Linked DNA regions of Drosophila melanogaster. The protein of the gene in region 1 interacts with the protein of each later gene in a pairwise test. Each region holds a gene or a part of one and is shown in the gene's direction. Other genes may lie near its edges. The genes, in order: Nca, Obp19d and CG14645.

Evidence for each region.
Region 2: the proteins of Nca (region 1) and Obp19d interact in binary tests that used the Drosophila melanogaster proteins (3 or more experiments, as listed by UniProt).
Region 3: the proteins of Nca (region 1) and CG14645 interact in a two-hybrid assay, tested with the Drosophila melanogaster proteins (2 studies listed by BioGRID).

Annotation. Positions count from the first base shown.
Region 1 is NT_037436.4:19,989,801-19,993,559, forward strand, and holds the start of Nca (neurocalcin), read left to right. Parts: upstream 1-2,086; 5' UTR 2,087-2,242; intron 2,243-3,464; 5' UTR 3,465-3,522; intron 3,523-3,759. Other genes in the region: fln (flightin), read right to left, coding at 154-286, 349-504, 571-830. UniProt on the Drosophila melanogaster protein: Calcium-binding protein that is essential for promoting night-time sleep and inhibiting nocturnal hyperactivity.
Region 2 is NC_004354.4:20,417,626-20,421,384, forward strand, and holds Obp19d (Odorant-binding protein 19d), read left to right. Parts: upstream 1-1,987; 5' UTR 1,988-2,512; coding exon 2,513-2,660; intron 2,661-2,790; coding exon 2,791-2,879; intron 2,880-2,951; coding exon 2,952-3,088; intron 3,089-3,152; coding exon 3,153-3,231; 3' UTR 3,232-3,354; downstream 3,355-3,759. Other genes in the region: Obp19b (Odorant-binding protein 19b), read left to right, coding at 1-46; Obp19c (Odorant-binding protein 19c), read right to left, coding at 547-759, 826-1,140.
Region 3 is NT_033777.3:4,333,044-4,336,111, forward strand, and holds CG14645 (uncharacterized protein), read left to right. Parts: upstream 1-2,054; 5' UTR 2,055-2,073; coding exon 2,074-2,367; 3' UTR 2,368-2,463; downstream 2,464-3,068. Other genes in the region: CG9776 (uncharacterized protein), read right to left, coding at 1-116, 179-869; Skp2 (S-phase kinase-associated protein 2), read right to left, coding at 2,500-2,686, 2,743-2,902, 2,966-3,068.

The DNA of each region.
Region 1 (3,759 bases):
GAGTTTTGAGATGCGCAGATATGCAAACGCTTACTGACTGACTATACACATATGTACGTATGGATCTTTTGACAATGGGTGGTTACCCTTTATATAACTACGAGTGCTCATCCGTTCGTCCGACGGTTCTATTGGTACATTTAGGTGCGCTTACTAAAGGACACTGGCATACCTTTGGTTGATATATGCCTTGGTGTGGTAATTATAAGTTCTTATCGAGGCCGCCAGTGTTTGAATTAGTTGTTTGTCCCTCTTTGCCGGTGCATACGAATCAATGTCACTGCCACTGAGGTGGATAACAAATATTAACAACTACTATATTTACACAAACCGGATTAGCTACTCCACCTGATATTCCGTGTGCGCAGGACACGTTCCGCCCACGTCTGTGGTCTTGGTATTTCCCGGGCCACTCCAGTTTGTTTTTTGTCGATATAGTCAATTACATCATCGTAATAGTTGGTTCTGTAGTTGTACATGTATTTGTATTGCAGAAACTTCGGCCTGAAAAGTGCAGATTGCATAAGATACAGTACGGTACAGTGCTGTACAGTACAGTGGAGGACCAACCTGACCCAGTGGCGGTAGAGCTGCACCGGTTTCCTGTAACCATCGTCTTCTGGCGGAGGCGGCGGTGCTTTGATTTCTTCTACCTCTTCCGGAGCAGCCTCCTCGTTGGCCGGAGTGCCAGCCACGACGCTATCAGCCTTGTGATCGGATGCCACACTCGGTGCTTTTGAGGGTGGGGCCGGAGTGCCCGCCTGGGTGGATGCCGCCTTCTCCTCCTCGCCGCCGTCGTCGAAACCCCATGGATCTTCTTCGTCTGCCATATTACTGAAACGGAATCCTTTCAATATTATTATATATCTATCATAGACAGATTCACTTTCAATATTCGATCTCTAGGTAACGTAAGCCATCATCATATTATTATATCACAATAAGATACTTTAACAAATTCACTGTCTTCTTATTTTTTATAAACGTTGGCCTTTTAACGTTGCATAACATTGCAACACAACCTAAATTTCAATTTTGTTCTTAAAACAACCTTTTTCGCAGTTGATCGGAAATGTTTGGAATTCAGGACGCCCAAATAGCTGGCGTTCTTAGACCTTTCGAATTCAGGACGATTTAAATGGTTCAATGCATTATAATCTACATATAATGAGTTACATCATTCATCGATTGAATTGTATAGATTCATCTCTTAAACCACTCATATCACTGTTATCTTTCCAAAGGACTTTTTATCATAGACTTATTAATAGACGTTCAAGGGATTCACATTGATTTTCTAGCAGCTAAAACTAGGACATTGGGTCCACTGAAAAATTAGGGACCGTACCTTTACTATAGTGTTTATACTGATATAAAGGAAAAAAGACTAAATGATCGAACTGCTGCTCGAAACAAATGCACTTAGAAAACTTAATCTAAATATATCGAGAAGCAACATCTATATACAAAGGTTGGCATGCGTACTCACATACTAAATTTAATTGGCCGAAACGCTATTAACACCTATGTACTAAATAGTTTCACATTTCAGCATCAAAAGTTCCGGAACAATGAAAAAGTTAGTAAGCAGATTCAAATTTAAGTAGTCAAATAAATCTTTTAAGCTCAATTTGATCGATTTCAACAATTTGCTCATTTATACGGACTTAATTTTAAATAGTTACAACACTTGTTAACTTTTTCCAGAATAAGCCTAAAGATTATGAATCCTAGTTGATAAATGTTCACATAAGAAATCCGCACCGTAATTGTTAAATTTGTTATTTTAAAATTTTTTTGGTTTCATCATGAATCCAATAAGAATTTTAATTATTTAAAAAGGAACCGTTACTCTATCACGGGAACGACGAAAGTGGAACACTTCATAAATTTATTTATATAGGTTATATCTACGATCTAACTAATACTCTAACCGTATTGGTATTCTTGCTTAAATACATGCTTATAATTTTCTTAAAAGCCCCGAAATTAATTTAAAAACAATTTTGTTTAAACGGCGTGAAAACAATCGCCCTAACTTATCGATACATCAAAAGCGAAAACCAGCAGCACACATCGATAAGGCGCTCGTATATATATCGCCTCGATTTAAGCCACCCCTAAATTTGTTGTATTGATTGTGTTTTGGTCGAATAAGTTTATTGCATTTGCGAAAAGTGATTTTGTTTAGCCTAGCGGGTAGCAGAAATGTGCCTAAAATCAATGTGTCATTTTCGTTCAGGTAATAACCGCACCCACCTCCCGCCGAGGCGGCGAAAATCCCGTGTGAATCGAGCTACATACACACTTTAGCCCATTTTGCGTGCATATACACTGCATGTGCGTACATATGTACATACGCACCTGCGTACATATGTACATATGTAAATATCAAAAATAACAATTTAGGGCGAATTTGTGTGGAGAATAAAAATCAAGCAAGCAAATCGTTTTCCTAGGACATTGTACGTTGGGGCCAAGTGGACCATGTGACAAAGCCATGCCCACTCGCACACACGCAAGCACATATGGACACAAACAACAAACTACTTTATTTAAATCGAGCGGTTCGAGCAGTGCGAGCCGGTTATATTAATGCATTTTAATTCGCATTCGAATTCTCGCTCCAAAAAAAAAAAAAAAAACAGTGCCAATTTATGTAAGCGAGAACCCGAGGTCCACTGGGAGTTAAACGTGTGTAGCAAGTTGTGTAGCAAGCCATCGCCAAAGAAACCCCCGCTCGAAACGCATACACTTGGTTTGGTATACGATGTGGAATATTGGTGTCCAAGTGCCAGCCTTTCCCTGCTGACCACCCTCCCCCACCCCCTGCTGGAGCCCACTGGAGCCCCTTACCCGATTTGGTGTGAATATTATGTGCAAAATAAAAAGGCCGTAACACCGAACGAACGCTGGGGAGGAAGGGCAGGAAAAAAAACTGTAGGCGCGGGCCGTGCTTTCCCCACGTGACACGCAGGCGTATGCGTGTGCCAAAAATTCCATTTATTCGGCGTATATTCATCGCGAAAGGCGATTTCAAACTGCATTGACACTCGCACTCGCGTTTCTGGCCCAAAGTATACCAGCCATCTAGTGAAACAAGCGCTGATTGTGACCCACAATCCCAAAATAGCCTTGTTCCCAACATCTTACTCCAAAATACGTGTTCAAAATGGGGTTTTGGGTTTCTCCAGGAACCGAACTAATTGCCTCCAGATTGACCATGACCTTAGCCATTTTCAAAACTCAACTACCTTCCGTTTGGCACGAATTTGGCTCATGGCAGAGCTTTAATTTCAATTTTTTCGTTGCTGCTATTTTGAAATTTTAAATTGAGGGAGTTTCTTTATATTCTTTCGAAAAAAAAGATTCAGCAATATCGAAGAGAATCGCATATTCCATTATAATATTTTCTTACAATCCGATGGCGATTTTGTAGTAACAAGCTCTTTTTATATTTTCAGCATATTAGCCTCAGTAGGTAAATAATGCTTTGACTTGGTCGACGGAAATCAAACTGATGTAAGTAAAGGAATCACATAAAATGTACAATTAAATAAATACCAATAATATTTGTGCCTAGCTTAATTATAGCCTTAAATGCATGACTAACCCAATACTTAAGCAGCCAATTAAACAAATATGACTTGTAATAAATATCTTCCAAATGTGTGTGTAAACCTTTAAAGTAATCAATCATACTAATTGATCATGTTTAATACCGATTCGGATTTTATAAAACGAAGAATATAATATACC
Region 2 (3,759 bases), on another chromosome or scaffold:
CGAGATGCGCTCTTCGGGCTTCAAGATTCCCGAGATCAAGGAATGAGGCCATGGAGCTGCTCGCTGGCCCACCATTGCATGTTCTCCCTCCCTTTTTTTTTTGTTAGTGATTCAGTTCGATTTAATTACCAAAGCTAGAGAACTTGGAGTGGTTTCCCAAACTAATAAAGCGCCCAACCAACAAGTTACGAATTATGCATATTTATCGGGTGGGAATCACATATGTAGTACGTAATCCCGTAGTTGGAACTGCGAAAGATTGTGTTTTTTATTGTGCAAAAATGGGAAATAAATTACTGTATATATAGATTTATTCAAATCAATTGCGAGTGAGCAACTAAAACTTGATCTAGTACTAGAAAATCGTATAACTAGTATTTAATATATAATTATATTGCCTAATAGATTGTGCATTTTCGGTTAAAATTATCTGAGAAATCATTGTAGCTAAGATTATGGCCAAAATATGCGAGACACCTTCTTTCTACTCGTAGTTAAGATCTCAAGTGGTAGTTGGTGGTGGTGTCCATGGCGCGGAGATGTCCTCTACCAGACCAGCTTTACGTTGTTGCGCTCCAGCTGGCGACTGATGCACTGGTTGAAGAGGTGGGCCACCTCGCAGGGGTTCTTCGAGGAGATGCCGCGGCTGCAGGCCTGCGCCATGCTGGAGCTAACGGCGATGGCCATCTTGTTGTCCTGGGTCACCAGGCTGGTCAGCTTCTCCACCTGGCCAACGTTCAGCTTGTTGTCGGCGTCCATCTGGGTGCGAATGAGAAGTATTAGTGACCTTTTAGTTCTGGTTGTGACAAACGTCCGGCTACTCACCAACTTGATCTTCTTGAGCACGCACTCCACCAGGCACTTCTCCTTCTCACTTGGATTGGTCACCTTCCCCAGCGGTCGCTGGTCCCTGGGCAGCTGCAGCTTCTGGATGCACTCCATCCTGGCCGCGGTGACCAGCTCCTGCACCTGCGGCAAGTTGCGATCGATTACCGCCCAGATGGGCTCCGTTCCGGTCTTGGGCAGCAGCTTGGCGAGATCGAAAGCCTGGGTCTGGCCACGGACGCAGTGCGTCTGCAGCAGGACAGCGACCACTATCGTCATTAGCGGAATGGCTGCGACTGGAGTGGATGGCTTCATCTTGGCAGCTGCTTTCTCTTTGGCTCTGCTCTTGCTTGGCCCCTTGGCTTATAAGCTGACCCATGACCTCACACCATAGTCGTCTGCACATGGCATCGTCGCTTGATTTTGCTGATTGCAAGCATTTCTCCAGTGCCAAGTTCATCACCCAAGTTCGTCACCCGCACAAGTCACGCTCCAAAGACGATATTTGACATCGCCAACGCTATCCAGCGATGTGTCAGTTCACTCGAGACAATGACAATATCGGATTAATGTAGATCTTCAATCTGGAAACCTGATAGGTCTATCAAAGTACCAAGGTTTGTAAGGTATATTCATTTTTGGAATAATACATTTGAAAATATCAATGTTAATTAAAATGAAAGTAAGCCATTTGCTCGCAACCGAATTATTTAGATATATACATATATTATCAATCGGACTTATTTGTTGGATGATTTACCATGTACATATATGTATAATACTCGATCACACAGACTTCCGACCTGTTAAAGATCTTAATGGGGCTAGTAAGCCCCACTCAATCCAATTGGAATAAAAATTAGCATGCAACATGCTCACACGATGCAATCCGATTCCATCTATTGGATTCCACAATAATATAGATTGCGTGCTAAAATCTCCACTCGATGGATGGACAAACAGACTGACTGGATGGAACTCAGATAGCGATCGTTGGCACTCGGAATGATCAGAAAGTCGGCAGGCTGACGGGCAAACTGGGAAATAGGCGGACAGATGAAGGGTATATTATGGCCTAAACGGCCAATTTGGCAGGCGGCAACCGCAGTTCCCAGTTCGCCCAGTTCCATATAATTGTATAATCGCTCGATGGCCCCGCCAGTCACAATCACTCATCTCACCCAGAGCTGTTGATCGATTTAATTACAAGCGGGATTTCTCATCTCTCATTTTGCATTTAGCATTTTGCATTTTCATTTCCATTTCCACTAGCCATAGCCATTCCCAATTCTATATCCCCGGCATTTGCAGCGATTTCATGCCAGTCACCAATTAAGCAGGTAAGTGGAGATCGGTGGGCCATCTCATCTGGCAGCGGCAGTTCCAGCGGGGTGTCACTCGTTCACACGATGCCCAGTCGAGGGCATCTCCGCCGGATTCCGTCCCATCCCGTCCAGAGCGGCGGAGTGAAGTGGAGTGCCATGTGCCATGTGCTGCCCATGTAGTTCATAATTGCGCGTAATTGCCGGAGCTGCTTGAGACGCAGCTGGAGATCGGCGATGGATCCGATCTGCCAAATCAATCACGGGACTCGGCTTAGGCAATAGCTCCTATAAAACGCCGACGTTGCCGGCGATTCGCATCCAAGTCAGAGTTCGCACGTCGCGCAGTTCAATCGCAAATCGAAATGTCGCATCTGGTTCACCTGACCGTCCTGCTCCTAGTGGGCATCCTCTGCCTGGGCGCCACCAGCGCCAAGCCGCACGAGGAGATCAACAGGGACCACGCCGCCGAGCTGGCCAACGAGTGCAAGGCTGAGACGGGAGCCACCGATGGTGAGTCAGATGGTCATCAGTGCAGAAAATTCAGTAGGGAATACAGCTGTCAGCGTACCACTCCTACCTGTGGTGGATGTGTTAGGATAGTTATTGTGCAATTATCAATCATATGATATATCGCTTACAGAGGATGTGGAGCAGCTGATGAGCCACGACCTGCCCGAGAGACACGAGGCCAAGTGCCTGCGCGCCTGCGTGATGAAAAAGCTGCAGATAGTGAGTGCTGCTGCTCCGGCAGGAAGTGTGATCCACTCACCACCACCCATTCCATTCTCCCTCCCATTGCAGATGGATGAATCCGGTAAGCTGAACAAGGAACACGCCATCGAGTTGGTCAAGGTCATGAGCAAGCACGATGCAGAGAAGGAAGACGCTCCCGCCGAGGTGGTGGCCAAGTGCGAGGCCATCGAGACACCCGAGGATCAGTGAGTAGTGCTCGCCGGAAGCTGTTGGCTCAAATCCGGACTATAATCATGCTGCCATTTTCAGTTGCGACGCTGCCTTCGCCTACGAGGAATGCATTTACGAGCAAATGAAGGAGCATGGACTCGAGCTGGAGGAGCACTGAGAACAGATTTGAGACCCATGACGACCCCCCGTTACTGTATCACAAGCGCCCTTCTGGAATATAACCATCTTTTTTTTTTATGTGTATACTATGAATTAAGTACTTGATAAACTGAGAAACTGCAGGCTTGATTGTTTGTTGGATTGTGAAGGGGGATTCGTATGGGTGTGGTTATCCTCCAAGACTCCTCGGGACCCATAATTTACTAATAAAAAATTCTTGCTCAATTTCGACGATTATATTACAATCTTTATTATTATAAATACAAGTACATTTTTTTGTATATCATCTCCCAATCTGGGGCATATTTAAAAGATTCTTACTCACTATTTATTAATGCACGATGTTCTTCGTACCTGGGTTTCTCCAGGTGATATCCTGCGGAGAAGGGACCCAGCCAGGGATGCGCGTTCGCTCTCGGCTCCCCTAAATATGTCCTAGCTTAGCCGACTTAACGCAATCTGTCGGTAAAAATATCTATTTGCTCAACTTGGGCTCCTAGTATAGTATGCTGCCCAAGCCCAGGGA
Region 3 (3,068 bases), on another chromosome or scaffold:
GCCTATCGTCTTGCCAGAGAGAGTTTCGCGGGCCTTCTGTGGCTGGATCAGGGAGTCTGAAGCGGATGGCTGGACCCCAGAAATAGGCTGGTTAATCCACACCTGCTGACCGTACACTGCAGGAAATAATATGCTTAATAAATGAAGGGCTTTTGGCGTTAAATGTCTAGAAACGTACCATTTACGTCCCACGCGCTTGTGGGAGGCGGACCGTAGCCAGAGCCAAAAGAGCTTTGGTCCGGCGGGGCACCTGGAATACCGTACCCCGGTCCCTGAGGTGGAAACGAGTTAGGCGGAATTCCATATTGGTGACCGTAAACATCTGGTGGAGCGACGTATGATCCGTAGATATGTGCGGCCATAGCTCCATAGCCAGGGGTCATTTGAGGATGTGGTCCTCCATGCGGAGGGGGCACTGGCGGCGACGACGGTTTTTTTTTTGGTGACCATCGACCTCCCCGTCGGGGCGACATGCTGCGGGACCGGGATCGTCCGTACCGTCGTCCGCGACGTGGCGGAGAGCGCCGGCGTTCGGGGGAGCGTCGCCGATCACGATCAAAGCGCCGTCGGGAGTACCGCCCATAATCGGGCGAATCGTAACGACGACGCGGTGGAGTCAGCGAGCGGGACAGGGAATGCCTTCGCCGGGTGTTCGACGGCGATGTGTTGCGGGAATCCGACCGACCACGGGATGTGGAACGGCGCCTGGAATTCGACTTGCCGCGCTTTCCCGACCCACTGCTCCTGGGCTCGCAGTTCTCGTTTCCGCTTTTCTCATCGACGCCGGGTGGCCCTGGAAGCAGATCATGATCGACCGCGTTACCGAGACGCCTATCCCCCAGCTGTATCGTAGCCGAGTCTTCATCCATCTAAAAGCCGAAAAGTGTCTTTTCGACTTAAAAACGCAATTTTGGACTAAGATCAATAGCAGATCGGTGTTTTTCTGGCAAATTCCGAAATTACGTGTGTGAAGCAAAATAGTGCAATACAGGCGAACCTGAACCTGATAGTTATCGATACTATCGATGTTGTCACGTATTGGCCAACATCGATGACAAGGGAGTTACAATCGACGAATGTTTACTCTTTGGCTTAATAGCCTATTCACACCAAAGGCAAAAGGTAAGTTATAGTTAAATACTATTAAGTACCGACATTGGTACAAATTTGTCTAAAGTGATTTCCCAAGAAGTGTGGAAAACGCCGAAATGTCCACCCCGTTAAGCATACTAGCACCAAAAGAATTTTTACTTTTGTAACGCACTTTAAATTTCCGTTAATATATAAAAAAATTACCAATTGGAGGGATGACTCAAAATAGTTTCAATTTTATATTTCTACCCGTTACTCGTAGAGTAATAGAGTATACTAGATTCGTTGAAACAGGCAGAAGGAAGCGTTCCCGACCATATGAAGTACATATATTCTTGACCAGGATCAATAGCCGATCTGGCCATGTACGTCTGTCCGTATGAAAGTCGAGATCTCAGGAACTATAAAAGCTAGAAGGTTGAGATTAAGCATACAGATTCTAGAGACAAATACCCAGCGCAAGTTAGTTGACCCATGTTGCCACGGGTGACGGGTATCTGATAGTCGAGGAACTCGACCATAGCCTTCTCTCTTGCTTTAGTTACTTTTATATTGCTGAATCTTTAAATTTGGCAGGCTGTCCAATACGAACTTTGTTCTTGAACCTATGATTACGAACTAGATCGAAAATATTTATATTTGTCGTTTCCCTATATGATTTTGTTTTGAATTGGCTTGATTATGCTTTCCTTGATAAAAGACATATTTTTTGTTTATTTTCTTAAATATTTAATATAGTATAAAAACAATGAATTTTTAAATGGAAAATTGGGTGACTCATTGTACCTTTTTTAGTTTGAACAGATTGGAGTCAAGGGCAAGTACTGTTATCTTTTCCTTCCTCTCTCGAGTGTTTACATTAATGCCAATTTATAAAAGCATTTTCTGGTAGTAGCTGCACTTGGATACTATACCGCTGCAACTATGTAACTATAAAAGGCTTCGAGTACTTCCAGTAGACCATAGAACATTTTTTGAAAGATGAAGGTTCAGCTCGCTCTAACCTCCCTACTAGTGATTTCTTTTGGCATTGCCCTCGCCTATGATGGTGACGGACAGCCGGGTTGCAAGACCCAAGCCGAGCTAGACATTGTAGTTTTCCGCAACAATTGGGATGCCACATCGTATTGGAAGTGTGAGACACTTAACAAACCAGCCATTGAAATCAAGTGCCCCAGCGAAACAGGATTCATGGATAGTCTCAAGAACTGCGTCAACTGGGAGGAATGGGAATGGGAGAAACCAGTGGAGCCCCTTAGCGAAGCGGATCAGTGACCAAACGCACAAAAATAAGAACAGCTAAATGTGATTATTTATGTTGTTGAATTGAGAATAAAATAACTGCGTTACGGGTGGCTTACGCAGCAAAACAAATTCAAATGGTAACGGAAGCAGCAGAGTCGAGACTTAGTCGCGCGTGCGCAGACCCCAAATGGAGGTGCGTCGCGTGCCAACAGTCGGGCGGGATACCGAACTGTGAATGAATTTGTTTATACCCATTTTTGGCAGTTGTTTCTCAAGGACTTCCATTGCAGTGTCCGACAGCATCCCAAATATGTCTAAATAGGTTAGCGAGGGCATACTCTTAAGTTCACTGCAAGGAAAATGACTGGGTAGGGATTAATCAGACGCTTGCTGGAAAAATCTTACATAAATTTGGTTGCTGGAATAAGATAGCATCGGGAGACGGACAAATATTCCAGCATCTTGAACTTCATAATTGCAGTAATGACTGTTGGTGTTAGACTATTGCAATCAGATAGATCAAGCTCCAACAACTGAGGACACCGTTTTTGCAGGGTTGCAACATCTAAACAAATTAAATTCAAATCAAAAAGGAAATATATCATTGAAGACGGTGGGAACTACTTACGCGAGTCAAACAAAACGCGGCGGCAGCCAGCGATATTGAGCCGAATTAAGTTGGGGGAAATGTGGGTAACCAACGCCGTAACAGCATCCGCACTTAGGTCAGT